3 linked regions of the Rattus norvegicus genome follow. The protein of the gene in region 1 interacts with the protein of each later gene in a pairwise test. Links are inferred from orthologs where the notes say so. Each region holds a gene or a part of one and is shown in the gene's direction. Other genes may lie near its edges.

Region 1 (10,033 bases):
GCTCACAAACATCTGTAATGGGATCCTGTGCCCTCTTCTGGTGTGTATAAAGATAGCTACAGTGTCCCCATAGGAAAAAAAAAAGGTTGGAATTGGTATTCTGAGTTGTAACTTTAGGTTGGAGAATTTTATTTCTGTAGCAGATAACCAGGGAATGGGAGGCTACAAGAGTAAGTATGTGTTAATTTTTGCTGAATGGAGTGAGATCATTCTCCAAATTGGGTCAGGTTGACTTGGTTAAGAATGGCAGGAGATAAACTGATTTTCTTTTGTACTAGCTGTTTGTACATGCTGTTTAATTCATGGGCTTCAAATAATTTTGTTTTAAAGGGCAACAATAGTTTCACTGGAAGACTTTGAACAAAGGCTAAATCAGGCCATTGAACGAAATGCATTTTTAGAAAGTGAACTTGATGAAAAGGAATCTTTGTTGGTCTCAGTACAGAGGTTAAAGGATGAAGCAAGAGGTAAGTAAGCTTTATAACTTGGCAAGTATTTATCCATTGCCTGGTCCCTGAGTAAGTCAAGGACTAAGCCTTTTGATGGTGCTAGGATCACAGGGTCTTGAGCATGCTGGGTAAGCACTCTGCTTCCAAGCTGTTTCCAGCCTTCAGTTTCTCTGAAGTTCTAGTTTTATATGCCTTTAAATTTCTTTCAGTCACTGTGCCAAAGTGCGTTTAACCTGGCAATTTATTTCATACCCATATCATCAGCACTAAGAAGTAGCTGTGACCTCCATATTATAGATGAGAAAAAGGAGGCACAGAGTTTGAGCTTTTTCAGTGTCATACTGCACTCAGTTGGGATTTTTTTATTTATTGATTGTATTTAAATAACTTCATTTTATATACATATCATTTTATATATACATATATCAATCTGTTTACATATTATACGTGTAACTAGTACACACTTTGTTTAAAACTTCTTTCTCCTCAGAAACACAGTACAATTGAGAATATTATTTTATTTTATTTTTTTCCGGAGCTGGGGACCGAACCCAGGGCCTTGCGCTTGCTAGGCAAGTGCTCTACCACTGAGCTAAATCCCCAACCCCAATTGAGAATATTATAAAGAAGGAAAGCCCACTAGTAATTTGATATATTTAGTTCATTTTTTATGGTTGTATATGTCTGTATATTTTCCCTTATATAATTTCTGACTTCTTACATAATTTCCTCCTTCTTTCCAGATGAAAATAGACACATATATTTCTCTTTTTTTTTTTTCTGCTTAATATGGGGAATATACATGGCATCACAATTTTTTTTTATAAATTTATTTTGTATACAGCATTCTGCCTGTTTGTGTGCCTGCAGGCCAGAAGAGGGCACCAGACCTCATCATAGATGGTTGTGAGCCACCATGTGGTTGCTGGGAATTGAACTCAGAACCTCTGGAAGAGCAGTCAGTGCTCTTAACCTCTGAGTCACCTCTGTAACCTTGGCATCACAAATTTTTTAGAGCAGGTTTGGGTCTGGAGAGGTGATGGCTCAGCAGCAGGGAGCATTTACTGTCCCTTCTCTTGTTTCCGCTATAATACTCTGAGTCTCATTGTGCTGAGAAGAGAGGGAAGTTCTACAGAAGGTGTGTTCAACTATGTCATCTCTCTCTATAGATTTTCAGTGCCTTTTATTTTCTTTTTCATGAGGGCGCTGTAATCATCTGAACAGTTCTTTTTATTTATTTATTTTTTCTTTTTTTCTTTTTTTCTTTTTTTCGGAGCTGGGGACCGAACCCAGGGCCTTCCACTTGCTAGGCAAGCGCTCTACCACTGAGCTAAATCCCCAACCCCTGAACAGTTCTTTTTAAGTTATAGGTTTTAAAAGGTTTGTTTTATGTGTAAAGAGTGTTTTGGCTGCATGCTTGTGTACTGTTTGAATGCTTGGTGCTCTCAGGAGCTAGAAGAGGGCATCAGATCCCTGCAACTGGAGTTAGAGATAATTGTGAGCTAGCACATGGGTGCTGGGAACCAAACCCCTAGTCCTTTGGAAGAGCAGTGAGTGCTTTTTATGTGCTGAGCTACCTCTCTAGCCCCTGAAGAATTGTTTTAATTTTTGTAATATATAAGTTATTATCTTGGTATTGTTTATTTATAGGTCTTGTTTCACAGTAGTAGGAGTGAACACAGGGCCTTGTATATGACAGGCAAGCACCACACCTCTGGGCTCCATCCCCAGTCTTGTTTTTTGTTCGTCTCATCATTTGTTTTGAGGTGGTGGGACTTAGTGCCTGCTAGGCAAGTGCTCTATCCCTGAGTTTTTCCCCCAGCATCTTACTTATTTTAATTGCAGTAAAAACAAAACAAAACAAAACAACAACAACAACAGCAAAAGAACCCCAAAACAAAACAAAACATTACAAATTTAATCTCTTGTCTATCCTGTTTTTTGAGACTAGGTCTCAACTGTATAGCCCTGGCTGGCCTAGATCTCACTATGTAGATCATACTGGCCTCCAAATCAGAGATCTCCCTGCCTCTAACCTCTCAAGTGCTGGAATTAAAAATTAAAACTGTGCCACCATACCGAGATGGTTTTAAAATATTTATTATTGTTTATGTGACTGGTTGATTTAACTTTAGTGTCTTCAAGGTTTGTTTATGTTGTTGTGACTGGATTTTTTTTTTGTTTACAAAATTTTTTAAATGTGTGTGTGTGTGTGTGTGTGTGTGTGTGTGTGAGTGATGTCTGTGCCTGCCTGCATGAGTGTGGAGTTCAAAGTACAGCTTTTGAGAATTTGTTCATTCCCCCTTCTTACAGAAAATGGATTAAGAACTCCACTCCATCATTTCTTCTCCTCTGTGAATGGGCATTGGGCGGCTTGCGTCTTTAGTTCCTGTGAACAAGGCTGTTGTGGATATAGGTTGCATGTGTCAGTCTGTAATCCTGTTTTGACGTTTTTGATCTCAAAAGTAGAGTAACTTCGTATCCTTTGTTTTGTTTTTCCTTTTTCTTTTTTTCTTTTTTGTTTTTTCAAGACAGTTTTTCTGTGTAGCCCTGGCTGTCTTGGAACTTCTTCTGTAGCTCAGGCTGGCCCCAAACTCACAGAGGTCCGTTTGCATCTGTCTCCCAAGTGCTGGTCTTAATTAAAGACATGAACCACCGCTGCCTGGCCTGTTTTTCTTTTCCTGAAATAGAATCTTTTTGCATAGCCCTGGTTGTCCTGGGACTCTCTATGTAGACAAGGCTGGCTTTAAATTTCTCAGAGATCTGCTTCTTTTTATCCTTTTTCTTTTAACATAAGATATTTTTCAGGGTCATTATATAATTTAAAACATTAAAAATTCAGTATTGAAAAAGGATTTCATAGTGGTAGTTTAAAAAAAATCTGAGGTGTAGTAGTGCATGCCTTTAATCCAGGTACTCTGAAAGCAAAGACAATTGGATCTTTGTAAGTTTGAGGCCAGCCTCATCTACATAGAGAACTCCAGGCCTACCAGAACTACATAGTGAGACTTTGTTTAAACAAAATAATAATTAAAAAAAATATAAAACTTAAAATCTTCATTGGTTTTTCGTAGTAATCTGTGACATATGCAATACACACACACACACACATATATATATACATATATATCTCATATACATATATATATATATATATATACACATGAGAAGTTGTTTAGGAATATTTTGTGTTATTTAGTTTCACTATGAGTTCTACTTTGTGTCCTCTTTTTTTTTTTTTAAAGATTTATTTATTTATTGTATATGAGTACACTTTAGCTCTCTTCAGACACACCAGAAGAGGGCATTGGATCCCATTTACAGATGGTTGTGAGCTACCATGTGGTTGCTGGGATTTGAACTCAGGACCTCTAGAAGAGCAATCAGTGCTTTTAACCACTGAGCCATCTCTCCAGCCCTTTTTTTTTTTTTTTATTTAAAGACATTATTTTATGTGTGTATGTGCATGCCACTTATGTGCAGGTGTCTGCAGAGGCCAGAAGAGGGTGTTAGATCCCCTGAAGCTAGAGTTAGAGGCATCTGTCTGACATGGATTAGGAACTGAACTTGTCTAGCGGAAAAGCCGTCTCCAGCTCTCACTGCTCAATTTCTTTCTGCCTTTGGGCATAATATTGTTCTCTGAGAGGTTATAGCAGTTTAAAATTATTTTTTTAAAAATTATGTTTACTGTGTGTATGCGTGTGTGCGTGCCACTGTACAGATGTGGAAGTCAGAGGATATCTCGTAGGGTTTGTTTCTCAGTCTACCATGTCTGTCTTGGGGATGGAGCTCAGGCTGTCAGGCTTGGTAACAAATGCCTTAAGCTACTAAGCCATCTCACTATCCCACATTTTTAAATTCTAGGGAAGTTCACATTTTTTTCCAGAGATAAACATTTTTAGAATAGAAGCTTGTTTTGAGAAACTGTAACTTAGGAGGAATGTCTTACAGTGTTTTGGTTGGGACTTGAGCCAGGATATAGTTGCTCTCTCTAATGAGGATTCCTGCTTTTGTTTGCAACATTTTGCAGATTTAAGGCAAGAGCTAGCAGTTCGGGAACGGCAACAGGAAGTGACCCGAAAGTCTGCTCCCAGCTCTCCAACTCTGGACTGTGAGAAGATGGATTCTGCCGTCCAGGCTTCGCTCTCCTTGCCTGCAACGCCTGTGGGGAAAGGCACAGAAAACAGTTTTCCTTCACCAAAAGGTTTGTATTTTCTCTTTCAGCCATGTTAGATGATGGGTTTGAAATGCATTTGCTGATGTAGGGAAGCTGCTACAGTTAAATGATGAACAAGTTACTTTAGTATCCAGGAAACAAAGGTAGAATTGTTTTTCTAGGTCACTGTGAGATGAAGTCTGCACTCAACACAAGAGCAGCTTAAGTAAAATTCTTAAAGTTAAAAGTTACTTATTTGGGTTGGGGATTTAGCTCAGTGGTAGAGCGCTTGCCTAGGAAGCGCAAGGCCCTGGGTTCGGTCCCCAGCTCCGAAAAAGTTACTTATTTCTATGTTTTCCAAGACAGGGTCTCTCTCTGAGTAGTTCTGGCTCCTGGAACTCACTCTGTAGACCAGGCCGGCTTCTAACTCAAGAGATTCCGTGCCTCCACCTCCTGAGTGCTGGGGTTATGGAGTGCCACCATGCCCCGCAAGTTAAAAAGTTAAAAGTTTTAAAAGCTTATTTTGGTTATTGTGATATATGTTCGTGCAGATTTCTCTGTCTGTCTAATTTGTCTGTTTTGGGCCTGGGGATTGAACCCAGAGCTCTGTATGTGCTTGGCTAAGGCACTGACACTGAGCTATAATTTCAGTTCCATGTAGAGAATTTGAAAGTACAAGAAGATCAAGTTTTACAGAGGATTTTTCTTTGAGTTATTCCTTACACATTTCTTTGCTACCATAGATTGGTGTTTAGTTTTTTTTTTGTTTTTGTTTTTTTTTTTTTTTGGTTCTTTTTTTCGGAGCTGGGGACCGAACCCAGGGCCTTGCGCTTCCTAGGTAAGCGCTCTACCACTGAGCTAAATCCCCAGCCCCTGGTGTTTAGTTTTGAGGTGTAGTCTCATCAAGCCTAGGCTGTCCTGAAGATGACCTTTGAATTAATTCCTGATCTTTGCGCCTCTCCCTCCCATGTTCTGGGATTACAGGCATGTGCCATCACACCCAGTCTCTCATGTTAAGTTTTTTGATCCTACCTAAATAATTATTTCTCGCTTTTGCCATTTAGTATGTCATAGAAAAACAGGATACAGATATGAAGAGAATCTTTAAGTTACTATTTGGATTGCTATATGGTTGGCTCAGAACATTCTGTTGGATAGGTCTTGAACTACGCACTAAGGTAACATTCAGGGGAACTGGTAAGATTCACCTGTTGTCAGTCAGTGTTTGTTATGTGCACATAAGAGGTAAAGCAGTCTGTAACCAGTCTTAGAGCCTTGCAGTGCAATCCCAGAGCTTTCCAGTTCCAGCTTGTTTAGGTAGTCTGCAGTTCGTATCCCAGCTTCCTCCACTCGCCCTTTTTTCACCCTCAACAGACGCTGTCTCCTCTTGCCCTTCTTAAAATACATTTTATTCTCTAGAGTGAGAGGAGGTTCTCTGGGCAATTAGGACAGCATTTCCTGTATTTGTGCTGCTCAAGTAGCCACAAGTGACTGTTAAACTTTATATTAATTTAAATGAATGAAAGGGATTCAATTTCCTTTATCAGTCACATTTCATTATTGAGAATATTATCATGCTGATTACTGGCTTGGCACAGTATTTCTTTTATATGTGTGTGGTTTTTTAGATTTATTTGTTTCATATATGTGAGTACATTGTAGGTGTACTCATCTAGTCAGTGCTCTTAACCACTGAGCCATCTCTCCAGCCCCTGCACAGTATTTCTCTTCTCTTTGTCTTGCCTTGCTTTTCCTTTTTTTTTTTTTTCTCTTGAGATATGGTTTCACTTTGTAGTCCTGTCTACCCTGGTACTCTGTCTCTGTCTCCCCCCCCCCCCCCCCGCCCCCCCAACACACACAAGGCTGGCCTCAACCTCACAAAGATTCCCTGCCTATAACTGTACCCAGTTTGGCGTATTCTTTTATTTTTTTCAATTGCAAGTAATTTTTTTATACAACATTCTGATCCTGTTTTCCCTCCCTCATCCCTTCCCAGACCCTTCCTTCCTCTTCACCCTTCCAACACTATACCTTCTTATACCTTTTACTATTACCTTTCTTTGTCTTAGGAAAACAGGGAAGTTCAAACAAACAAGAGTAAAACAAAGCTGATGAACTAACAGGAAAAACAGAACATGAGAAACACATACATATGCAGACACACCCAGCCCATAAAACACAGAACTGAGAATGTAATGTACAGGCAGAAGATCAGAAAGGTAAAAAATGCTGAACCAAAACAGTAGGAGACCAAAAAAAGGTCTAAGAATACCTTTGAGTTGGTTGTGTTGGTCCTCTGCTACTGGGCATAGAGCCTGCCTGTGAGTATGGTCGACCCTGTCAGATGCCCTTGGAGAAACTAATTTGCCTCTGTGGATTGTTGTCAGTTAATTGGCAATGGCTCCTTGGTTAGGGATTCTCATGCACTTCCCATCTTAGCTGGCTTTCTGGCTGGCTTGGACTTGTGCAGGCACTGTGCGTGCTGCCACAGTCTCTGTGTGTTCATGTGTGGCACGATACTCATAAGGAAACATCCTTGTAGCATCTGTTAGGGTAACAGTGGACAGCCCTCTGCCCTCAGAGTTCTGTTCTCAGGGTCTCCAGCAATTCCTGTTGATGTTTCAGTATCTTTGTCCTGGCAGCAGTTTGGAGACGTGGCACACTGATGTAGTCTGATCATTAAGAGTCTTTTCTCTTTATACTTTGTACCTTGAAACAGTATGATATTGCTTCAAATGTGTTTGACTTTGTAACATCATCCAATATAACCCAAATATAAAGGGGGCTGCTGATGGCATTACTCTGCTTTTCTCTTTCTGTAGCTATACCAAATGGCTTTGGAACCAGTCCACTAACTCCTTCTGCTAGGATATCAGCACTAAACATCGTGGGAGATCTCTTGCGGAAAGTAGGGGTAAGCATTCAATTATTTATCACTAGGGTTTCCACTGTGGAGGTAGTATTGGGCTGTCTCTTTCTTGTGGTGAGAACCTTATGAAGCTGAGAAGCACCGCAGGCACTGATGAGCAAGGACTAGACCTGAGAAGACCCCAGCCCTGGGCAAAAGGCATTTCTGGAAGAGCCTGGGCTCTGAGGTTACCTATGTAACTCTTGACATTGCTCTCCTGTCTAGTTCTGTTCCTTGCCCCTGCCTCTTATCTTCCTGGGTTTTTTTTTTTTTTTTTGGAGCTGGGGACCGAACCCAGGGCCTTGCTAGGGCCTTGCTCTTGCTAGGCAAGCGCTCTACCACTGAGCTAAATCCCCAAACCCATGTTTTTTTTCTTTGTCTTGTATTTTGTGGGATAGTATGTGGCTGGGGGCATTGCCAGCCAGTCTTTATCTGGGGCTTTCTTGCTCTCAGGACACCTCAACTTCTGGGCCTCATTCTTGGCCCTAAGCTTGTTTTTAGCAACTTGACTTTTGAAATATGACACTGGTTGTTTCTTTATCAATTTTTAACATTTATGTATTTTTATAATTTTATAAAAATATGTATGAGTTGGATGTGTCTGTGCACTGTGTGTGTGTGTGTGTGTGTGTGTGAGTGTGTGTGTGCGTGTGTGCGTGCGCGTGTACGTGTACGTGTATGATGTCTGCTGAGGTCAGAGAGAGTGTTTAGATACCCTGGGACTGGAGTTAACAGATGGTTGTGAGGTGCTGTGTGGCTGTTGGGAATCAAACCCCAGTTGTCTGTAAGAGCAGCAAGTGCTCTAACCTGAGCCAGCTCTCCAATTCTGGCTTTTCTTTCTGTCTTTTTCCTTTTAAAATAAAGTTTTTAAAAATTACATGTGTGCATGCGTTGTGTGCGTGTATGTATGTGTGAGTGAGTGAGACGCATACTTGCAAGTTTATGCACACATGCAAACCCCTACTGGGCTACTAAATACTACATTGGCTTTTTGATTTAAGAATTTTTATTATTTAATTATGTGTATATGTGTGTCTGAATGTGTATATTATGAGAATGCATGTGTCCTGTGAGACCAGGGGAATCAGATCTCCTAAAACTGGACTTAACAGCCACCTGATTAAGGGTTCTGGGAACTGAACTCAGGTCCCCTGGGAGAGCAGTACACTCTCTTAACCACTGAGCCATCATCTAGCTCCAGGTCTTTGGTTTGTTTGTTAAAATATGAGTCCTAGGGATCAAACTCAGGTTGTCAGGCTTGTGAGGCAAGCACTTTGATCTGCTAAGGATTTTCCACTGCACCATCTTGCTGGTCCCTGTAACCTCTTGAATGTTAAGCTAATACTCTGCCACGGAGCTGTACCACTCGTAAGCCTGACCTCTTCCCTTTCTCCTTTCAACTCCATTTGTTCTTTTTGTTGAGTCACTATCTACTGTGAACATAGTTCACACTGGCCCAGGCTGGCCTAGAACTCATGCTGCTTCTGTCTCTGCCTGCTTAGTGCTTGGGATTATCTAGCATACCTAGTTATTCTTTTTTCTTTTTTAGAGACAGGGTCTCACTGTGTAGCTTTGATGGACATGGTATTTGCTAGGTAGACCAGCTGCCTTCTAACTCAGAGAAATCTGTCTGCTTCTGCCTCCAAAGTGCTGGGCCCCTTCATGCCTGGCTTTTTTAATTTTACAAAGCAAAACTAAAGGTCATTCTTGACATTACATCTCTCTTTCACCATCACCTTTGTGGGCCTTCGATGTATACATACTCTAGACATTCTGGCTTGCTCTCCATTCCTGATCAAGCCCCTAAGACTGTGTGGTAATGTCAGTGTGGTTAACAATGTGTGCACTGCTCTACTGAATTTTATTTGAAGCATTCAATGCCAGTGTGCCCCTACCCTCCTTAGAGTGTCCTCGTTTCTTGGTGTCCCTGATGCTGTCTCTTGTCTGTCCCCACCCAGCCGCCCATTTCTCTTGGTTTTTCTTTGTCCATTCTTTCAATGATGGTTTTACTGTTCACAGTCATGGTTCATTTCCAACTGATGTCAAATTTCTATTTCTTAATCTCTAGACCACTTTTTTCCTTTGAAAAGACCCTGGGCTTATACTGCCTGTGTGTATCACTGATGCCTGAAACAATTTTTTACCTGCCATGTGACATGTTCAACAGATATGCACATGGATGGACAAGGAAATTAAAGATTTCAGTATGAATTTATTTACAAGTCAGAGCACTCTAGAGGGGCATTATATCTGACATTATTTAACCAGTTCATTGTACTTTTACCATAAGAAAGGGGCAGAAGAAAAAGAATTTTCAGTTTGTTTTTGGTTCTATTTCATGTTTTTGGGTTTGTGTGTGTGTGTGGTTGAGACTGGTTTTGTTGTAGATATGAGGGAGAGGACAGCTGGGGCATCTGGAAGGGTCCAAAGTGAGCTGGGCCGTAAGGTGAATGAGAGGGTGGGGAGGGGATGAGCCCAGGAGCCCAGAAGGTGAAGAACTGAAGCCTGTGTGTGTCATGC
Region 2 (10,033 bases), on another chromosome or scaffold:
ACCCGCAGCCTGGTTGGTCGGGGCAGCTCCCCCCGAGGAAGCCTCTCTCCAAGGTAAGCATTGTTATTACTGGGAAGCCTAGGCAAGAAACACCTTGAGATTGGGAAATTTGTTATCTTGAGTAGGAAAGTGTATATCTGTTGAAGCTATAAAAGCATTCTGTAGATAAGAGTAAGAAGCCTGTCTAGACAAGAAAATTGATTCTAAATTAATTGAAATGTTAATTTTAAACACATTCTTAGATTTCTTAGCTAAAAGGAATACATTTTCATGTTTCTAATCAGTTTGAACTCTTTATCAGTTGTGTGTTTAGCTTGTGGGATGATGAATGCACTGACTTGATTATTTTTGCTTATAAAATGCGATGTCCTAAGATGTAAGCCAAGACTGTGTGAGGCGTCCTAAAGTCCCCTCGTTCCTTCTAGGCTGCTGGAAGCAGAGTATATCCAGTTCTGTGTGTGCTACGCGTGTTTTAGGTCTTCCATGATAAGCCAGGGCCATCACCACTGCGTAATTTATCAGTGGGTTGTGGATTTGTTGTTGAGGGGGACCAGTGCTGTGGAATAGATGCCAGTTTATAATAGGGCTTGGGAATTAGTGATGTCTGCCTTTTTATTTCATTTTCAACTGTGCCGTCCTTCTCTGGTTTGTTTTCTCCAGTTTTATAAACTGTGCCTCACATTTAGTTGGGTGGTTGAGGACAGAAGGTCTGGCTTGGTCCTCGGGTCTTCATGTCAGGGAAGAGGTTCCTCTGAAAAGGAGAGCTTTTCCTATTCTGACAAAAGGAACATTTGTGTTGCTGACTCAGCTGGGGAATATTCACTAAGGAGCACCTTTTATTTTATTTTTATAAAGGCTACGTTTCTCTATGTAGCACTGGGTGTCCTGCAATTTGCTCTGAAGTCTAGGCTGGTCTCAAACTGAAGAGATTTCCCCCTCCCCAGTGCTGGGATTAAAAGTGTGAACTACTGCTACCCAGTTCCACATTCTTTACTGTTGTAGAGCCTGTCCAGTAACCTCAGCCATTTCCCAAGTGTGGGTAGATGTGTGCCTTTCCCCATATCATTCCTAAATATAATTATGTAAAAGTAATGTGGTTTTTTTCTTATTAAATTCTGGAGAAAATATTAAAATATTCCTCATTTGGAAATGAGGAATCTGAGCTACAGAATGAAAAAATTATACCACTGCCCTGTGATTTTTATATTGTATTTCTATACAGTTTATGGTTTTCTTTTCAAACGAGAAAGTTAAGGGAATCTTGCTCATGTTTAGTAGAGAAAGCGTTTCCTTGTCCCTTTCTAAAGTTACATCATCACACACACGTTATGTGAGTGGGTTCAGAATCCTTAGTGTGATTTTGCTTAGTAAAAATGTTTTTATGCTAAACAGAACATAATGCAGTGAGTGGCACTAGATTACTTTAAGCGCCATTTAAGGGTCACATTACTCTCTAAAAGTCAGCCCGGAGTGGAATGGCCCAGCCTACCTGTCTTAGTGTGTTTGGAAAATGGTAACAGCTCTCGATGCATGCACTCAGTTAGAATGGAGACCAGAGACCAGGATGGCCCGTTTAGTGATGGGAAAGGAAGACCGGGCCTAAGAATGAGCCCGTTCATTTTCATCTCTTTTACAAGGGTTAAAAACTGTGTGAAGAACTAAGTTATGACATTAAAAAATGCTTGTATAATCTACATTCTACACAGATAAGTTGCTTTGGATTGATAGAACTGAAACGGATTTTTATTTTTAATTGAAAATCATTAAATTTTTCTTTTTATTGGACCTTAAGATTCAGATGCCCTCGATAGTGTTACTTGTAGTATTGTACTGATAGCCTGCACATTGAGACCTAGCAGTAGAGTTTTATTTAATTTTATTAACGCACTTTGCCTACATGTGCGTCATGTATGTGCACCGTAGGAAGCCAGAAGGAGGGCATCAGATCCCCAGGACTTTGAGCTACAGACAGTTGTGAGCCATCATGTGGGTTCTGGGTCTACAGCAGGGCCCTCTGCAGGAGCAGTGAGGCTGAGCCCCGTAGTCCACTCTTGGCCCTTTCTCCTGTCTGCTGTCTGCTTTAAAGCTCTCCTGATGTCGGGTTCCCTGTGCTCTATAAAGACAGCGCACAGTGGTCGATTGTTCTCTAGTGGTTTTAATTATTTACTGTGTTCAGCTATTTTATAATTTAGTGAGGAAGAATGATAGTGACTCTAGCAATCTTATTGATACCTCTGCCATAGGCCACTTGGTGCTAGGAAACGTGTACAGGCAATGGCTCTTAGAAGGACGTAGGGGCTGGGTGTGCAGCCACTTAGACCACTCCCTTCTTTTTAACTTGAGAATGAATGTTTTTGACAGATCCCCTGTGAGCAACTTGCAGATTCGATATGATCAGCCAAGCAGCAGTGGTTTGGAAAGCCTGCCTCCAGTGGCAGTGAGTATTGAGCAGCTCTTGGAGAGGCAATGGAGCGAAGGGCAGCAGTTTTTATTAGAGCAGGGCACTCCGAGTGACAGTAAGTAGCCACTGCTTGCGTCTAAGACGGGCACTTGGAAGCGGGCGGTGGTGGCGCACGCTCGGGAGGCAGAGGGAGGCGGGTCTCTGGGGTCTCGGTCGGGCTGATCTACAAATCACGTTCCAGGGTAGCTGGATCTGCACAGAGAAACTTCCCCGAAAAATACAAACCAATAAATGAAACACAGCAGCAGAAAGTGTTTGCCCAGAATAATGACACTGTGTTACGTATTATATGTAGTTAGAGAAGGTGTGTGTCACGCTTGGTCAAAGCTATCGCTGCAGGGTGTGTGTGTGTGTGTGTGTGTGTGTGTGTGTGTGTAGTGTGCAGTGTCTTGTGAACTCAAGAAGAGTGAAACTGTACCTTTTTCCTAGGGTTGGTATGAAGATAAATGACATGAACACTGACAAAACTTGCTGTGTTATTTGGTTGCTGGTTGAAATAAATGGCTGCGGCTGTCCCTCTGCCCACTAGACTTTGTTCTTGACCACTTGTGAGAACACTTGGTCTCTCCCCTCAGCTCTGGATTTAAACAAAGATTCCTATGCACAGATATCTTCTTTTAAAAAGAAAATGTCTCTAGTCAGCTGTAGCTAGGTATCAGGTTTTAGAATTTGAAGGAATAATAACTAGGCAGACATAGTGACACCCATTTTTGATTAATAATGCCACTTACCAGGTAGAAAGCAGGTGGCACACATCTTTAATCCCAGCGCTTGGAAGGCAGAGGCAGACTGATCTCTTGTGAGTTTGAGGCTAGCCTGGGTCTACGTAATGAATTCCAGAAGAGCCAGGGCTACTTTTTAGACCCTGTTCTTGCAAAAGGAATAGTAATTAGTAAATTTTTATTTAATTAGAATGTTAATCATACTTATGAGATTATATGGTATGTTTTGTATATATACATAGTATTACTACCAACGGGGTGGGGTGGGGTGTGGTAACATGATGCCATAAAAACACAGTTGGAGCAGCTTAGGGAGAAGAGTTAGGTGGCTTTTATCATTTTGGTATGGAAAATTTCAGTGCTTTATTTTTTTTGTTGTTGTTGTTTTTTTGTTTTTGTTTTTTAAAAACTAGGCTTTAAAAAATATGCTAGTGAGCTAATAAGTGCCTTGAATTGATCCTTTATGTATGGTGCCCCAAAACTGTTGACTGTAAGGAAACTGATGTGGGCAGAACCTTTTAAACAGAGCAAAGATGTGGGCAGAGGGCAGGCTAGCTGTATTATCGTTTCTCATCTGGGCACCTTAAGGGGATAAAACTTAAATCTTGTAATGCTAGAGGGTCCTTGAAAGGCCCTGAGCTCATGTTAAGCAAATACGACTTTTTCATACCTGGAGTTTTTCAGATGTCCATCACCATTACAACAGTGCTCTTGATTGGCAGTTAAAGTCCAAGCCTTGGAAGAATTAACACAGTATCTAAATGGTCAGGCAGGGCCCAAAGCTTGTTAACAGATGAGGAGGCCTCGTCCTCCAGAGAGAAGTTAAGGGCTGCAGAGACAGCGCTCCCTGCTGGGAGCCTGCAGAGAGACATGGTGAGCAGCTGGCACTGGCCGGCTTTCTGCCAGGTGTGTGGCAGCATTGGCGGCTGTGGCTGCGACTGCTTGGGCTCCTGAGGAGTCTGCCCAGGCCCTGTGCATGCCAGCTGCATGCTCGCTCCCCACAGACTGCCTCTCCCAGCGCCTGCATGTTTAAACACCTAAGAAAGCACGTCCTTATTTGAGTAAAGCATATTGGTGGTAATTTTCCTATTGTAAGTCTCAGCTATTGTCATCATTATTTTTTTAATAAAAATTATGAAAAGTACCTTGAAATTTTAATTTTTATTTTGAGGAAACCTCTTTTTTGAGGATAGAAACTACGTGATGGGGGTGGGTTGCTGTTTGTCAGACACACATGCTTACACAGGTATATGCAGCAAAGCTTCCGTGTGGTGGATCTGTGTACAGTCTTCCTTGTGTACACACTCAATAGAACATGATGTTTGTAGCTACAGTCAGACCTTGGAACAAGGCTCAGTCATGCCAGGATTAGCCCACACGATTTCCACATGTTTAGGTCTGAAGCAGTTCACACTATGACCATAAAGTACTTAGTCGTGGGAGTGGAGTTGTCTTTACTTTAAAATCACACAAATATTTGCCAGTTTTAGGAATGTTAAAGTCATTACATCAACTTCAAGTTGAAAATCGAAGATTAGAAGAACAGATTAAAAACTTGACTGCCAAAAAAGAACGTCTTCAGTTGTTGAACGCACAGCTTTCAGTGCCTTTCCCAGCAATAACGACAAACCCTAGTCCATCTCATCAGATACACACATACACAGCACAGACTGGTGAGTACAAGAATACTTTGTTTCTAAGGACCATGGATGGACTCTTACTGTCATGTACACAGAGAACAGTACCTGGCCACCATTTCCGTGAAGAAGCAGCTACTTCTAAGGGGCAGAGACAGCCTAACAAGTCCCTTGAGTTTTCTTTTACTTCAATGGATAGTTTAATGATAAAATCCTTTAGATGCAAGATTTCATTACTGAAATAAAGCTACAACATTCAGTACAAAGACACCACCTTCTCCCCCACCCCCATTTAAGTAAGTGTTAGGAGTAACAGAGCTGTGGGCTTCAGCATCCTCTTAATCCCACACATGATGCAACTAACAGGGTCCCTGTTTCTATCTTTTCCTGTTTCTAGCTCCTACTACTGACTCTCTGAACAGCAGTAAGAGCCCGCATATAGGAAACAGCTTTGTACCCGACAATTCTCTTCCTGTATTAAATCAGGTGAATTTTTTGCGTGTGGTTATGTTCATTTGTGTGTTGTACTTGGGAACATTGCACATTACATCTAGTGATTTAAAATTATGTTTAAACACTCTTGCTGTGTTCTTTTCAACTTGGGTTTTATTCTCTTTCCCGTAGGACCTGACTTCCAGTGGGCAAAGCACCAGCAGCTCTTCTGCTCTTTCCACTCCCCCGCCTGCTGGGCAGAGTCCAGCCCAGCAGGGCTCTGGAGTTAGTGGGGTTCAGCAGGTGAACGGCGTGACAGTGGGGCCACTAGCTAGTGGAATGCAGACTGTCACATCCACCATTCCTGCTGTGTCTGCAGTGGGTGGAATAATTGGAGCTTTGCCAGGTAACCAGCTGGCAATCAATGGCATTGTAGGAGCGTTAAATGGTGTTATTCAGACGCCGGTCACAATATCCCAGAACCCTGCCCCGCTCACCCACACCAGTGTGCCACCTAATGCAGCACATCCCATGCCAGCCGCCGCCCTGACTAACAGGTAAGACACTGAGCTCGGTATGCTGTTGTCATTGCCGCCTCCTCCTCCTCCTCCTCCTTCTTGTTTTTGTTTTTCATGCAACATGTTATCAGTGTTGTCCTTATTTTGGGTTAGGCTTCTTAAATGTATTTTGCAGATGTTCTCTAGGAAAAATTAAGTGCTAGCTACTTAATGAATGTTAGGCTTGTTTTTTAAAATGATGTAATTCAATTAAAGATTAATTTCAGTATCATATTAAATATATTGTGTTGAATTGAATATATTGTCCTGATCTGGAATATATATCTTAAAATGTTGCTTCTCCTTATTACATAAAATTATACTAAATTTTAAAAAGTTGGTTTTTTTTTTTTTTTTTTTTGTGGCAGTCACATGTACATTTTAACAGCAGTTTTGATACTTCTCTAACATAGATTTCGATGACATGATGGACTGATGAATTCTTATGTTTGTTTAACCTAACTTGTTGACTGAGTTTCTGTCGCTGACAGTCAAGTCTGCGTATATAAGGAGAGGGAATGATTTGAACATAATGAAGTACTGTAGTTCAGGCAGTTTGCTAGTTCCTGGTGAGGAGGCTGCCGTCGTGCTGCCCTCCCTGAGGGGGCACAGGAGACATCACGGCTGTGCTGGTTTTTCAGTGCCTCGGGCCTGGGGCTGCTGTCGGACCAGCAGCGACAGATGTTCCTCCAGCAGCAGCAGTTCCAGCAGCTCTTGAACTCCCAGCAGCTCACGCCGGTAAGTGGACTGTGTTCTTTTTGTCAGTGTCTGCTGTTGTGACTGGAATGGGCTCCTCCTCTGTGGATGTGGATCTTAGAAGTTGTCGAGCCCTTTGGCCTACCTGTGCCCTCCTGTTTGCGGGTTGATTGTTTTACAAATGTTAACTAGGCTCTGGGGATTGGAGTGCGAGCCGTTCATTCTGAGAGGAGAGGTAGAGAGCGCACACACTTGCATCATGGTACCTTCCAAGGATGGGGGCAGGCATTATATGGTCTAAGGGACGACAGATGTTAGGTGAGGGTGAGGGCCATTTCACTTCTTTCTTTGGTGGTATTGGGAGTAGAACCAGGACCTCACATGTGACTTTCTTAAAGAACCCATTGAAGAATGTTGCACAGACGTGACATGAAAATGCCTGAGGCGTAGAGACATTGGTTCCTGTGTGGAATCATTTTGTGTCAGGAGGGAGAAGGTGGGTTCAGCGATGGACACGGGAGTCACTAATGCAGAGCCGGCCCTGGTACGATACTGTACAGCTGTAGTGCATTTTGATCAAAGCAAGAAAAGGAACCCTAAACAGTTGGCTACTGACTTTACGGAGATACGGAGGAATAGACGGCAGAGTTTCCTGAGAAGTAGTAACCCATTATCACATACAGTGAGCCCACCTGCCAACTCTTTACTGTAAATCAGAACGATTAAACACGTCATCTGCACGGATCTTGTATATTCTATTTGCTACAGTTTCCTAAACTACACTGTGTAATGTATATTCTATCCTTTGTATTCTAACAATAATTTTCGACTGTGGGAGGATACCCAGGTGAAAGACGGACAGACGCTGCCTGTTTTGGAGATGATGTGGCATTGGTGTGGCTTCGGCTGCTTGAGCTCACCGCCCTCCAACCTCCGCCTCCTCACAGTGCATTTCAGACATGTGTCAGCAAAAACAGCTGTAGCTCTGGTCTCTAACAAATGACAGATAGTCCGACAGTACAGTTTGACAAATGACAGAGTCTGACAGTACAGTTTGATCTTAATCACGGGTAGGTTATGGGCTGCTTCAGTTTGCCCACAGCAGCTGACTGTGATTTGCTCCGTGCTTGATCAGGGGCATGATTTCGTGAGGTGCAGATAGTTTGTGTAGTGCTGTGACATTCGGAGTTCTGGGAACTCCTCGGAGGGTACATACATGGGGCAGGTCATTGGTTGGTTGCTATTGGTCACTGTTAAGTTGGTGGTGAGGCTCCAACTTGCCATAAGGAACCCGGCTGGCGCCCCCAGTCAGCAGGAAGTAGTCCAAGGGTCACGCCACCCATTTCCCTCTATCCTTTTTCTCTCCTGGTTAGAGGGGTGGAGAAGAGTGGAAGAAATAACCCACAAAGTAGCAAAAGTCCTGCTACAGTAGCAAACCCCCCCACCCCCCAAGCAGTCCTCACATGTGGGAAGTAAAGGCCAGAGATCAGGAGGTGCAGGCCGGACTGATTGTATAGACGTCTCCAAAGCCAGACACTCAGCTCTTACTTGCCCACCGCTGAAGGCAATATAGACTTCTGAGTTCGTGGGCTACACCTTCCTGACCCAGCAGTCACATCTGACAGCTGATCTTTCTTCACTCAACTTTGATGATGTCACAGCCCCTACAGCTGTGCTTGATCTCCGTAAGCTGTCTTCAGAGCTGCATGCCATGGGCCCACCTGCTTATTGTGTAGCCCCACGGCACACCCTGAGGGCATTGGGCATTGTAAACTCAGCCTAGACTGGGCTACCACGCTTCTTCCTTACCCCAGCCAGCCTTTCCCAGCTCCAACCTAAGTCAGACCTGTACAGTCCTTTTTGTTTTTCTTTCTTTTCTTTTTTGGAAATACTACTGTGACTTCATGAAGAAACCTCATTTAACTGGTGGCACACACCTTTAATCCCTGAATGCTGGTTCAGGAGACCGAGGCAGGCCCTCTATACCTGAGTGTCAGGTCATACAAGGATATAATACTGAGATGATAATCTGTCCCTTTCCCCAGCCAACTCTTAAATCCCCCCCCCCCCCCCCTCTCAAAAGCATTCCTGACCTCACATCCTTTCTGACTGCCAGTCTGGCGGGGCTCTCAGGAGTCTAGGGTGTCCTGTACAATGTCTCACTGAGGCTCAAGAACTGCCCTCCTGCTTCCTCAGTGTACGGGGTGATGCTAATCCCCTGCAGGCTTTGTTCACTCCTGATTTGGGACAGCAGCTCTGACTACGACACTCATGGACTGCAGTGGTCAGCACCCTGGGACTCCTGAATGGAATTGATGCTGAGGAAGGAAGAGCTAAACTGTGGGAAGAAAATACCTTCTGTTAGGAGTTGTTGGCAACTTTAGAAACCGTGGAAAAGGGTTGGGGATTTGGCTCAGTGGTAGAGCGCTTGCCGAGCAAGCACAAGGCCCTGGGTTCAGACCCCAGCTCCGGGGGGAAAAAAGGAAAAAAAAAAAAAAAAAGAAAGAAAGAAACCGTGGAAAAGAATTATGCCAGGGCTTGGTCCCTGTGAGGACCTCTAGAGTAGCTTTTTATAATGTGACTTACCCTGTTTCAGTTTGTTTCTTTGTTGCTGTGACAAAACACTGACCAAAGCACCTGGGCAAATGTTAATTTTGGCTTCTAGGCTACTCCACCATCTAGGGACAGAACAGCAGGAACCTTGGCGGGAACTGAAGCAGAACCATTGGTGACCTGCCTTGCTCCTAGGGCTGGTGCTGTCCACTGTGGCCCACACTCTCCTGCGTCACTCATGAGTTGAGACAGAGCCCAGCAAGCTCGCCCATAGGCCAGTCTGACTGAGGCGTTTTCTCAACTGAGGCCTCCCTCAGATGGCCTGTTTGTGTGGTAACAGGGCCAAGCAGCACAGCACCCACCTGCTGCTGTTCCTGTTCTCTGTTCCTCACGGGCAGCCTCATCTGAGTGCACTTCTCCTGTGTTTGCCCACTTGTCTTGGAAATGGGCAGTTCAGCCGGGTGGCAGCAGTGGCTCACACCTTTAATCCCAGCAGAGTCAGAGGCAGAGGCAGAGGCAGGCTGGTCTCAGAGTTCCAGGACAGCCTGGGCTACACAGAGAAAACCCTGTCCTGAAAAACAAAAATCAACTCATCGGTCAATCAAAAAATGGTCAGTTCCCAAGTGGTGCTGGGTTATTACCCAGTGCAGTTGCTTTCCCGAGAGGCTGGTGTTTGTTTTGTTTGCTTTTAAACAGACTTCAGAGAGTCGTGGCCGGCATGACACTATGCAGACCGAGCTGTTCTGGGAATTCAGAGAGATAAACCTGCCTCTGCCTGCCAGATGCTGGCACTGAAGGCCTGAGCCGCCACACTCGGCTCCTGTTGTAATGCGACTGGTTCAAATAACACTGTAGAGGAGAGATGGGGGAGGCAGGCTTGCTGACTCCCTGGCTGAGGCTGCTCTTGTGTCTCATTGCTGAAGGAGCAGCACCAGGCCTTCCTGTACCAGCTGATGCAGCAGCAGCACCATCCCC
Region 3 (10,133 bases), on another chromosome or scaffold:
TGGTAGGTTAACCAGACTAGCTTTGAGTGGAGTAGGTTTTGACTTTATTATCCTTCTCTCTCAGCCTTCCAAGTAGCTAATATTATAGGGCTGTACCATGAGGCCTTGTTCAAGTTCAACTTAGCTACTCCTCTAGGTCACCTTAGAATCTAATGTATATTGCTGCTTTCCAAGCCTCTGTGGAAAACAGGATGGCATTTCTTCAATCGAAATTATCCTGTGATCCAGCAGAAGACAGTCGTGAGAGGTTGCTTCCACTCTAGTATCTATGGTAGTATTTTCATGATAATCCCAAGCAGGTATGCACCGATGGGTGGACAGGTGAACAAAAAATGCCTTACACATATGGGTGAATTTTACTCAGCCTTAAAAAATGAATTTGTGGGGCTCACACCACAACATGGATGAGCCTTGGGGATACAGTGATAAGGTGGTAACAAAAAGAGAAACACTATATAGTTCTATTTACGGAGTTACTGGTGTGGCTAAATTAATAATACGTTGCCAGGGTGGGAAGGAATGGAGAATTATTTAATGGGCATACAGTTTTAGTTTTTTGCAAGATGAAAACAGGTCTGAAGACAGATGGTAGTTAATAGTGCATGTATTTAACACCACTGAGATATACAATAAAAAATAGCACAGAAAGTAAAACAGCTTGTCACATATCAAGTTCATGGTCATGTTGACTGAGTTTCTCTTCTCCAGGGAGAAACAACAGGAGTGTGAACCCACCCTGAGAGCTTTTTCCATTTAGAAATCAGACTCTTCTGTGCCTTTGTGAAGGGTTACATGAATCAGGGACAGGAGATTTAGAGGAATAATGTGGGTGGCTTCTAGAATGAGGCAGTCACTTTAAAACAACAGGGCATGACACCGTTGGGAAATAATGGAGAAAATTGAAAACAAGGCTTTTATAATCAATGTTATTAATTTTTGTATGTTGGTAACATCCATCTTCAAAAACAATCATAGTGTAGGCAAAATAAAATGTACCTGTTGCCTGCTATGATACCCCTCATCATCTTTCTGGACCATAGCCAGTCAATCTTAAAGGACACACATACACACACACACACACACACACACACACACACACACACACACACACACACACTCCTCTGCTCCCTTTTATCATCTTCCTGGCTGAGAAACAGGGTTTCTACAACATCAATGAAAACCCTGATCTTGAATACAGGGCCCTTTAAAGCTGGACATGCTTATTAATATTGTAGGGGTCTAGACGTCATCCATGTGTCCCTTAGGCAGAGATCTTGACCAAGAAAGATAGACTTCTGTGTCTGCGGGGTAGGGTCTAGACATCATCCATGTGCCCCTAAGGCAAAGATCTTGACCAAGGAACACAGTCTTCTGTGTCTATGGGGTAGGGTCTAGATGCCATCCATGTGTCTCTAAGGCAAAGATCTTGACCGAGAAAGACAGTCTTCTGTGTCCATGGGGCTAAAAGTTCCTATCATGTTGCTTTAAAGGGAAAACTTCTGGAGATTTCAGTAAATCAACCCCAGTGACTTCTCATCTTGTTCATGACCTAACCCCATACATCTGAGACAGTACTTGGCATGCAGCGGGGGTTCAGTACACACTGGGGGAGAAGGATTATTTCTTTAGACCCTTTAATGTTGTATTTAGGATCGCCCCCAGAACCAATTCTTCCTGGAGTCTTACTGACTGTTTCCCAGTGCTGTTTGCCTTGGAACCATAAAAATCTCTCTGCAAAGCTCTCTCTTTGGAGGAGGGCTTTCTTTCATAGCATGAGTGAGTACGTGAGTTCAGACCTTAGCGTCAGAAGCAAAGAGGAACTAGGTTACAAGCGGAACCAATGCAGCTAACTAACCAACCCTAAAATACAGATCATTATGTATCATTCAACCGAGTCCAACACAGCCCAGGGGTCTTTAAAAGGAAAGACAGAGAACACAGTTGTGTCTCTCCTTTCACCACAGAATTTCTGGGGTGAAGCTCAGGCCTGAGGACAAGTGAGGTTACCTACAGAGTGGACCTAACCATTATTGTTCATTTCAGTTTTTAACGAGTAGTTCCAAGTGGCAATCCTGCAAGATAACTGGGTTTTCTACCTCTGTGCTCTGACACAACTCTGTACACTGAGAAAATAAACCCACAAAGGGGATTGGTCGACGTATGCGCATTCCTATCATAGCAATTCGTACCATCTGCCTCTGCCTTTTCATCGTCAGTCTTCCTCCTCAGGTCATGGGCTGGGGTCACACTCTGGCTTTCTCAGCTGTTCTTTACTGATCAAAGGTTGGCACACTCGTGATATGTTTTTCACATGACACGTGATACTTAGACCTTTAGACCTTTGTATCTTGACAACCCTTCAGGCGTTGATGGAGAGTTTTCCCCACCAGGTCCCGTTGGCTGTTGGGAGAGGTATTCTACTCATGTGGTTCTCCAGGTTTGATCCTGAGAGCAGTATTTCAGTTCTCTGGGAATTTGTCTGAAATGTAAATTCCTGTGCCCCACCCTAGGCCTACCGAATTCAGAAATTCTAGGGCCAGCAATCTGTGTTATACTGAACCCTCCTCCTAGATTCTGAGCCATACTAAACATTGGGAGTCAAATATTTAGCTTGGTCTGCTTTCGTACCCTTAGCCTCCAGCATGCACAGCTCTTCCAGTGTCAGACTTTTAAAATATAACCTAATCATTTTCTATACAAAATTCTAAAATGGTGTCTAAATATATATTTTTAGGTTTGCCTATTCAGCATACCAACAAATGGCGAACATCGTTTATGTTTCCTTTGCAACTCAGCTTTCATGAACATCTAACAATCTTGTGATAGAGCCTCTGGCCAATTTCAAGTCCATAACTACAACTGCCCCTTTGTCTAACTTCCACAAACCAAGCCAGTATTCTCTCTGATCTAAATAACCCACCGTCATTTATCAAACAACTCGAGAGGTATCCATGCTTTAGAATCCTCTGACATTACCTACGCTAGCCATTCTCAAGACATCCCTGCGTCTTTACCTTCCTATTCCACATACATTCCAATAATAGCTTTGGTCTGGATTTTTCCCTTTACTCCCAGACACACCCAGTGCCACTCCATATGCCCCTACATGACATGGCATCCCATCTTTCAGGAAATGTAAGCCATGAAAATAATCTTTCAGAACACTGACTTCACCATGTCATCTCAGTCGTCCTGTAAATTAAAACCCTGGGGGCATACATTGAAAGAAGTGCCTAATAGAAATAGAAGCACGGTGACAACCAAGGAAGTGAGAAAATTGGGACAAAGACAAAAACGGGAACACAGAAAATGAGATGAAGCCTGTAAAAATTCATATGTAGCAAGCATTCTGTGAGGATCCTACCTTTGTGGAAGAAAGGGAAGTGATGACCTACCACGTCAAACAGCCAAAGAAAATACATGCTTACCTCAAATATTCCGGGAGTCACAAGACAACAGCCAAGTGGTTCAGAAAAGCAAAGCTCATCTTGGTTTGGGGAACTGAAAGATCATCCTCCCCCCTCCCAGAGTCTTTATAAAGCGGATTGGACCTGTTGCATCTTGCGTAGCTCCCAAGGACAATCTGTGAAGAGCCCCTTTTTCCCCATCTCTCAACTGATCTTTGATTGTAGCATAAAGTTCAAAGCATAGCATAAATTCATGAGTGTTGTGCTGGAGCCTGTATTTCAGAGGTCTGAGGCTTTGCTCTCCTAATGATTTACTTAATCTACAAAGAAATGTACTACATGTAACCCTAGTCTTTTCCAACATTTTATCACCCACAAAATTAAGTCTCCCTATCATTATTCTATTGGCCAATTAAAGAGACAAGTAATAATGGAACGTATAAAAAAGAGAGCTATTCAATATGGCCACATAGGGAATTGGAGGAAGAAAAGGGGTCCAGTTACCACCAAGTCCGCCTTCAGGAGTACTGACAAGAAGTTTAAGTTTAAATAGAGAGCTAGAAATAGTGGTAAATTGAATACTCCGCTAGGTTACGGTGCGGTATTGCTGACCTAGCGTTGTTTCAGCTCACTCAAGGCTATCTCGCGAAGTGATCTGAGACCTCAGAGCTGCAATTCCTGAGAGGCAAGCTCCTTCTCCGGACGGCGCTAGGCCTTCGGTATTGTTTTCATTTCTCCAGGATGAATTATCTATTTTCTTAAATTATTTGGAGTATAATGTTCCAACAGTCTGATGGACTAAGGGAGGGGCACAAGTGTCTCCTCCCCTATCACAGCGTAATTATGTTAGTGGTCTGGAGGAGAGGTGGTGCCTTTCCAAGTTCTCTTTCAATGTTATTAATTTCATTTGAGCTGTTGGGGCTAGTGAGGGGAACAGGCAGTCTAGGGTCAGATAAATAATCACTTTCAACGCTTATAATAGATAGCCAGATACTGCAGGCTTGCACGGTAACTCTCAATGACTTGGAGAGATGATTTATGGAATGGGATTGAGATCCACACCCTCATAAGATAGCTCCTTTTCTCAGCTCTCAGCGTTTTATCGCAATCTCTGCTCAGATTCAGTATGCCTGGCTGAGGCATAGCCACAGACAGGCCAAAACAAAGTCATGGTTGCTTCAGATCACTCCTAGTAGTCTGGAGCAGGAGCTGACAGGTTTGGTCGTGGTCAAGCAGCACATTTGAATCCAGAGGGCCATTTTGAGTTGGTCGGCCAAGAGACTGGAGTGAAAGGTTCATACCAGAAAAGACCTGAGTCAGGGGGCAAAGATGCAAGGTCAGTGGATCAGGGCGGAGCCTGGGAACGGCTGGCGCGAGGGTGGGGCGGGCCCGGAGGCGGGCCTAGCCCAGTGAGACTCGCGCCTGCGCAAGGACTGTCCGGGAGGCGGGGCGACGCACGCGTAGTGCGCGGGCCCTGGAGGGCGGAGTCCAGGAGGTGCCGGCCAAGGGAGGGGGCGCGGCGACGGTGAAGTCCGGCGCTCCCGCAGGCCGTGGAGGCGATGCTGGCTGCTGCGGAGCAGGCAGCTGGGCGGACGGGGATGTGACGGGACTGTCCTTCGCCTCTCTCCTACCCTCGGGCCGGCAGGTCGCTGGGCGACCCGCAGCCGGGCCGCGGCCGAGGAGGCAGCGCGACCTCCGCACGGTGAGAGTCGGGGGTCAGGGCCGGGGTCTCGGGACGCTGGAGGCTACCTGGCTCCCGGGCGCAGCGCGGGCGGAACGAGGGCCGGGTGTCCTTGGGCGTCGGTGCTCTGGGACGACCCTCGGAGCCCCCGCCCCCTCTCCCGAGCCTCCTGCGGTGCAGCGGGCAGGCCGGATGCCCCTGCTCGGTGGTGCTGAGACGGGAAGGGACCGCGGGACACCCGGGCTGCAGCCTTCCTGCACCGGGAAATCAGGGCGAGGCTTAGATGCCCTGGGATTTCAAAGCCTAGATGCTCGCGTTGGTAAGGGGAAGTACCTGAGAGCCCTGAATGAGTGGGATTTTTTTTTTTTTTGAAATCACTGAGTCAAAACAAAGACACGCCCTAAAACACATGAGAACTTTGGATTACACCGTATCTGTAGGTTCAGATGCTTTTTCCCCCTCCTCTCCCTCTTTTGACATCTATTTTTATACAGTTTTAAAATGTACCTACTTTCTTGACAAAGTAAAGGGAGGGGGTAATCCATTTGGGGTGGTCGTTGGTGATAAAGCCTGATTTTGAATTTCAATAATTGCAAATTCATCTTTGCTGACTACCTAGCCAATTAGGTTTGCTGATCATAAAGTAGGCCTTAGCAATGGAAATTCCTAGTGCACAGATTCTTTGCTGTCCAAGATTGGAGTGTCCTATTTCGCTTAAGGAGAAACCAGGTGTGGAGGCTTCACGCCTTTATCCTGGCATCCAGGAAGCAGAGGCAGGTGGATTTCTGTGAGCTCCAGGCTAGCCTAGCCCATAGAGCAAACTCCAGAATAGCAAAAACTACTTAGACCTTGTCTCAAAAGAAAACCCAGAGGGTTGGGGAGGGCGGTTATGAATGAGAATGAACATTTCCTTTTTTTCCCAGAGTAGCTGTTTGATAAAGCATTTTGTTTTTTTATCGAGAACATTAAGTATTAATGGAATATATGTATTTAGACAGTTGATCAGCGTATCATCATTTAGATTTAAAAAACTTTAAACAAATTGAATGAGGAGGATAAGTATAAAGTAGGTATTATAATGTATAATCTATAATTGGTAAGGATGTAAACATTAATAAGTGGTTTGCATGGGTGAAGTCAGTCTTCTTTCCAGACTTTATTAATGTTTGTCTCTCTTAATTTGTTAGAGCGCATCGCCCTTCTCTTATATGGTGGTTTTCTTCCTTGTTCTCAACAACACTGGCCTCAATCTCTAGGTTAAAAACACTTAGAACCCTTAACCTGTAATTTGTCCTGTTTAATATGCCATAACAAGAAAGCTAGGAGCTGTCCTGGGACCAGGAACTTTTTTTATTTACCTTCCCTCAGGTAGATTTTTTTTTTTTGCTGGTTGCCAGATTGCTTTTACTATGTGGGGGAAGAAGAGACTTTTAATTTCATGGTTCCAATTCCATTCCTTCAGTCTTTCCCAGTTTCTGGTGTCTGTCTGCATTCTCAATTCATCTACTGTTACACAGGTCCTCTCTCTGGGACTGTTTGCAGTTTACTGAAGATGGCATCTTCCTTTGTTTCCTGGCTCCAGAATGGCCTTCCTAGTAAACACCTTGCATTCCCACTAGAGTGATAGAGCTTGACGTCTGGGCATCTCATCTCTTGTTTTCACTGATCCAGTAGCACCATGCCAGGCTGCACTGAGTACTTCATCAATTGGGAGTTAATGATTTGCTTATATATTGTCTCCCTCAGGCTTTCGAGTGTCTTTTTAAGTTTACTGCTACAGCACATACTGCTCAAATCTGTTTACTCAGTGCATTCTGAGGAGAGGGTCCAGGCTCGAATGCAGATTTAGGGTGAGCTAAATATGTTTGGACTGTCTTTCAGTACCAGAAAGTTGAGGGGAAAAAAAAATCAGTATTTTAAAAAAAATGATTTTTAGAAAAATTTTACGTATTTGGTGTTTTGCCCGCTTTTCTGTCTGCGTGTGGGTGCCAGAGCTCCGGGAACTGGAGTTACAGACGGTTGGAAGATGACATATGGCTGCTGGGAATTGAACTGGGGTACTTTGAAAGAGCCGCCAATGCTATTAACTGCGGAGCCATCTCTCCAGCCCCAACATTACTGCTTGTATTTGCTTAAGGATGAAGTAAAAACGGGTACTGGTTAGGAATGACATCCTCGTTATGATGGGGAAAAAGTCAGTCTACTTGAAGATGGAGGAATGAAGACCATGGCAAGTAAGGGTCGGTCTAGAACTTTATTTTGAGGTGCAGGGGTTTGCCCACAGTTATGGCTAGAAAGGGACAGATCTGGGAACATAGATGTCCTTTGGCCATCCTTCTAGTTCACTCTTACTCCCCTCTATCCTAATTCTAATTACATTTTTTAACCCAGGCTAGCCCAGAACTCACTGGGTTGTTCAGCTTAGGCTGAGCTCAGATCTCTGCAGCCCCTCCTCATCCCCCAGGCTTCGCAGTGTTAGGTTTACAGAAATGAGGCATCAGTGCCTGGCTTCTAATTTCTAATAAAGGGATCACCGTCTTGGTGCGATATGAGAGAAATGGATATTTATTATAAAAGGGCTGTATTGGATATTAGGTTGGAAAGACTTAGCAGATTATTTGGTTCACTGATGAAATAACTTTGAACAACTAAAGCATGGACAAGCAAGCAGCTTGCCTCTGTCTCCACGAACCTCTGTGTCACAGCTTCTGACCTCGTGTTTGCTTGCTCCTCACTGTTCTGGACCGCAGTCCTTGTGCTTTCCTCCTCCCTAGCTGCCACTCCTAGGGACGGACCGAAAGCCCTTGAGTGGCTGGGAAACATGATACCTCGTTTGGGAAAATGGGAGAAACCTTTACCACTCCGCTGGCCTGGAGCTTGCTTATACTTTGGTGTTGCAAGCCTCTGGTTACCATATGGAGACCCTGCACCGTTCCTTCTGTAAAGTGAGATTTTGGTATAACTGGGTTACAGATGGTTAATAGCATGTCTAGAATTACACGTATGGTTTGCCTGTTGTGAGAAGAGCTGCTCTGATTACTCCTGTGATAGCGTTTTAAGGACAAAAGTTGATAACTGTAGATTTATGTATCTAGCACATCAGTTTTCAACTATGGGCTTAGCACAGTAGGCCCCACTAGTTCCAAAAGACATTTTGTTATACAAGAAATAAAACCAAAATAAACTATTCCTTGTTCCTTGTCAATTTAAAATAATTTTATACCACCGATTGGTGCGTAAATGTAACCTTTAATCTGGGTTTTAATATTTGATGGGTTTTCTTTTCACTAGTTTTTATACCATTGGGTTACTTATACTGTCTTACAGAAAATAGTACTTATTTCTAGGTGGACACGGGAGTTGCTTTTGAGTAGTGCAGTTAGTATATTTAGGGGTCTCGGATGGCCTTACTAAAATGCCACTCCCTGTCCTGTCAGGATTCTGCAGTTCGCATATGACCACGTAGTCATCTTTTTTTCCCTGAAGGCTAACGGCCGTTGGGAGGAATGACAGCATCAGAGAGTAAAAGCTTTATCAGTTTCAAAAGCTGTTGCTGGATGTACTGTAGGAAGAGCTGCTCTTCTTCCAGCAGAAGTTTGGTCATTACTTTTACTGCCTTTTGTTCCCAGTGCTTTCTGTCTCCCGGAAAAGGCACTTGCAGGGTTTATCACAGTTTTATTCTCTCCTCCCTGTGAATGGGTTGTCGTTTACCCAAAGCCCCTGAAATATTTTTACTAACTTTATTAGCATTAGCACTTCAGGTATTATCTTTGTTACTTTTTATATTTATGGATTGAGACAGAGTTTCCTGAAACCTTGTCTGACTGTGAATCCTGTTCCTTCCTACTGGACCTTCTATGAATCACAGGCCTGACTTACTTTTTAGTACCAAACACTTGGTAGCTTTTTAAAATTTTACTAGAATACTTGACTTTTAAATCCTTGGTAAATTTGTCTTTTAATTGTGAGGTCTGAGTATGATGGCACCCCACCGTTGGAGCATCCACCCTCTTTAGCTTCTAGAGCCATCGTCCAGCAGGGGTTGCAGGCGTGAGCCATGTTTCTGGTTGGTGCTTGCTTTTGAAAGATAAATCCTATTACTTTGAATATCTAGCAGGGTGGTTCTCAGGCTTTTCAGTCTTAGGACCCCCATTGCACTTTTAAATATTCTTGAATACCTTGACAGGCTTTTGCTGATATGATTTATAATTTTTGATATTTATCAAGGTATACATTTACTTTTGAATGCTTAAAGTAACACTAAATTGATAATGCATTAAAATTGTGGTACATTTTAGACAAACCAAAGAGTTCCTGAATGTAGTGTATTTGTTCAAGTTGTTGTTTGTTCAGGGTTGACCAGAAGGTCATTTCTGATTTAACTTGAATTGTTAACCTTTTAAAAAGCTATGAAACAAAGCCTTGTTATCTGCTCTCTTTTTGGGAAGTGATGTATTCTAGACAGATAAGATAGCCAAGAACAATAGTTATCAGATATGCTACATTGATATTTGACATGCCTTTGTTTCTAATTGCTACCACCTAGAAAGTAGGCTTTTTGTAGTCATTTTATGGATGAGATGTAAAGGGATCTGCTGAAGTAGGTGTCTGTAGCAAGCCATGGTATAGATAGTCTGCCTTCACTTTAAAGGCATATTATCTTATTGCCGTGCTAAAGATTGGACGATTTCTATGCATTTGAAAGATATGTATTTAGAACCAAGCCAACAGTTTGTGATAGTTGAGAGTTTTCTTCTGTTTACCTTTTTGTGTAGTTTAGTAGCTTAGTTTGAATATGGTTGGAGGGTCATCTTTGAAGATTGTTGGTTTTAAGAATACTGTATGGTATCTCTTGGGGAGATGGCTGATGTAACAATGTAGAAATATATTAAACTGTGTTTCTCATAGGAGGTAATAGAAATAGATCATATGAAATTAAGTCTGGACTCTGAGTTGGAAATGGGGATTGAACATAGCTCTTGAAAGATAAAAGACTGAGTAACCCTTTGTAAGAGGATGAGAATGTGGACTGGCAATTTGGAAAG

Evidence for each region.
Region 2: the proteins of Ndel1 (region 1) and Mllt10 interact in a two-hybrid assay, tested with the Homo sapiens proteins (2 studies listed by BioGRID and IntAct). The link is inferred for Rattus norvegicus from reciprocal best matches to the Homo sapiens genes NDEL1 and MLLT10.
Region 3: the proteins of Ndel1 (region 1) and Ccser2 interact in binary tests that used the Homo sapiens proteins (3 or more experiments, as listed by UniProt). The link is inferred for Rattus norvegicus from reciprocal best matches to the Homo sapiens genes NDEL1 and CCSER2.

Annotation. Positions count from the first base shown.
Region 1 is NC_086028.1:54,038,127-54,048,159, reverse strand, and holds part of Ndel1 (nuclear distribution protein nudE-like 1), read left to right. Parts: intron 1-330; coding exon 331-467; intron 468-4,479; coding exon 4,480-4,653; intron 4,654-7,427; coding exon 7,428-7,519; intron 7,520-10,033. UniProt on the Homo sapiens protein: Required for organization of the cellular microtubule array and microtubule anchoring at the centrosome. May regulate microtubule organization at least in part by targeting the microtubule severing protein KATNA1 to the centrosome.
Region 2 is NC_086035.1:85,844,069-85,854,101, forward strand, and holds part of Mllt10 (protein AF-10), read left to right. Parts: coding exon 1-53; intron 54-2,361; coding exon 2,362-2,516; intron 2,517-2,890; coding exon of another isoform or gene 2,891-2,901; exon of another isoform or gene 2,902-2,982; intron 2,983-4,667; coding exon 4,668-4,856; intron 4,857-5,217; coding exon 5,218-5,306; intron 5,307-5,444; coding exon 5,445-5,809; intron 5,810-6,450; coding exon 6,451-6,547; intron 6,548-9,981; coding exon 9,982-10,033. UniProt on the Homo sapiens protein: Probably involved in transcriptional regulation. In vitro or as fusion protein with KMT2A/MLL1 has transactivation activity. Binds to cruciform DNA.
Region 3 is NC_086034.1:12,740,764-12,750,896, reverse strand, and holds the start of Ccser2 (protein FAM190B), read left to right. Parts: upstream 1-4,893; 5' UTR 4,894-5,109; intron 5,110-10,133. UniProt on the Homo sapiens protein: Microtubule-binding protein which might play a role in microtubule bundling.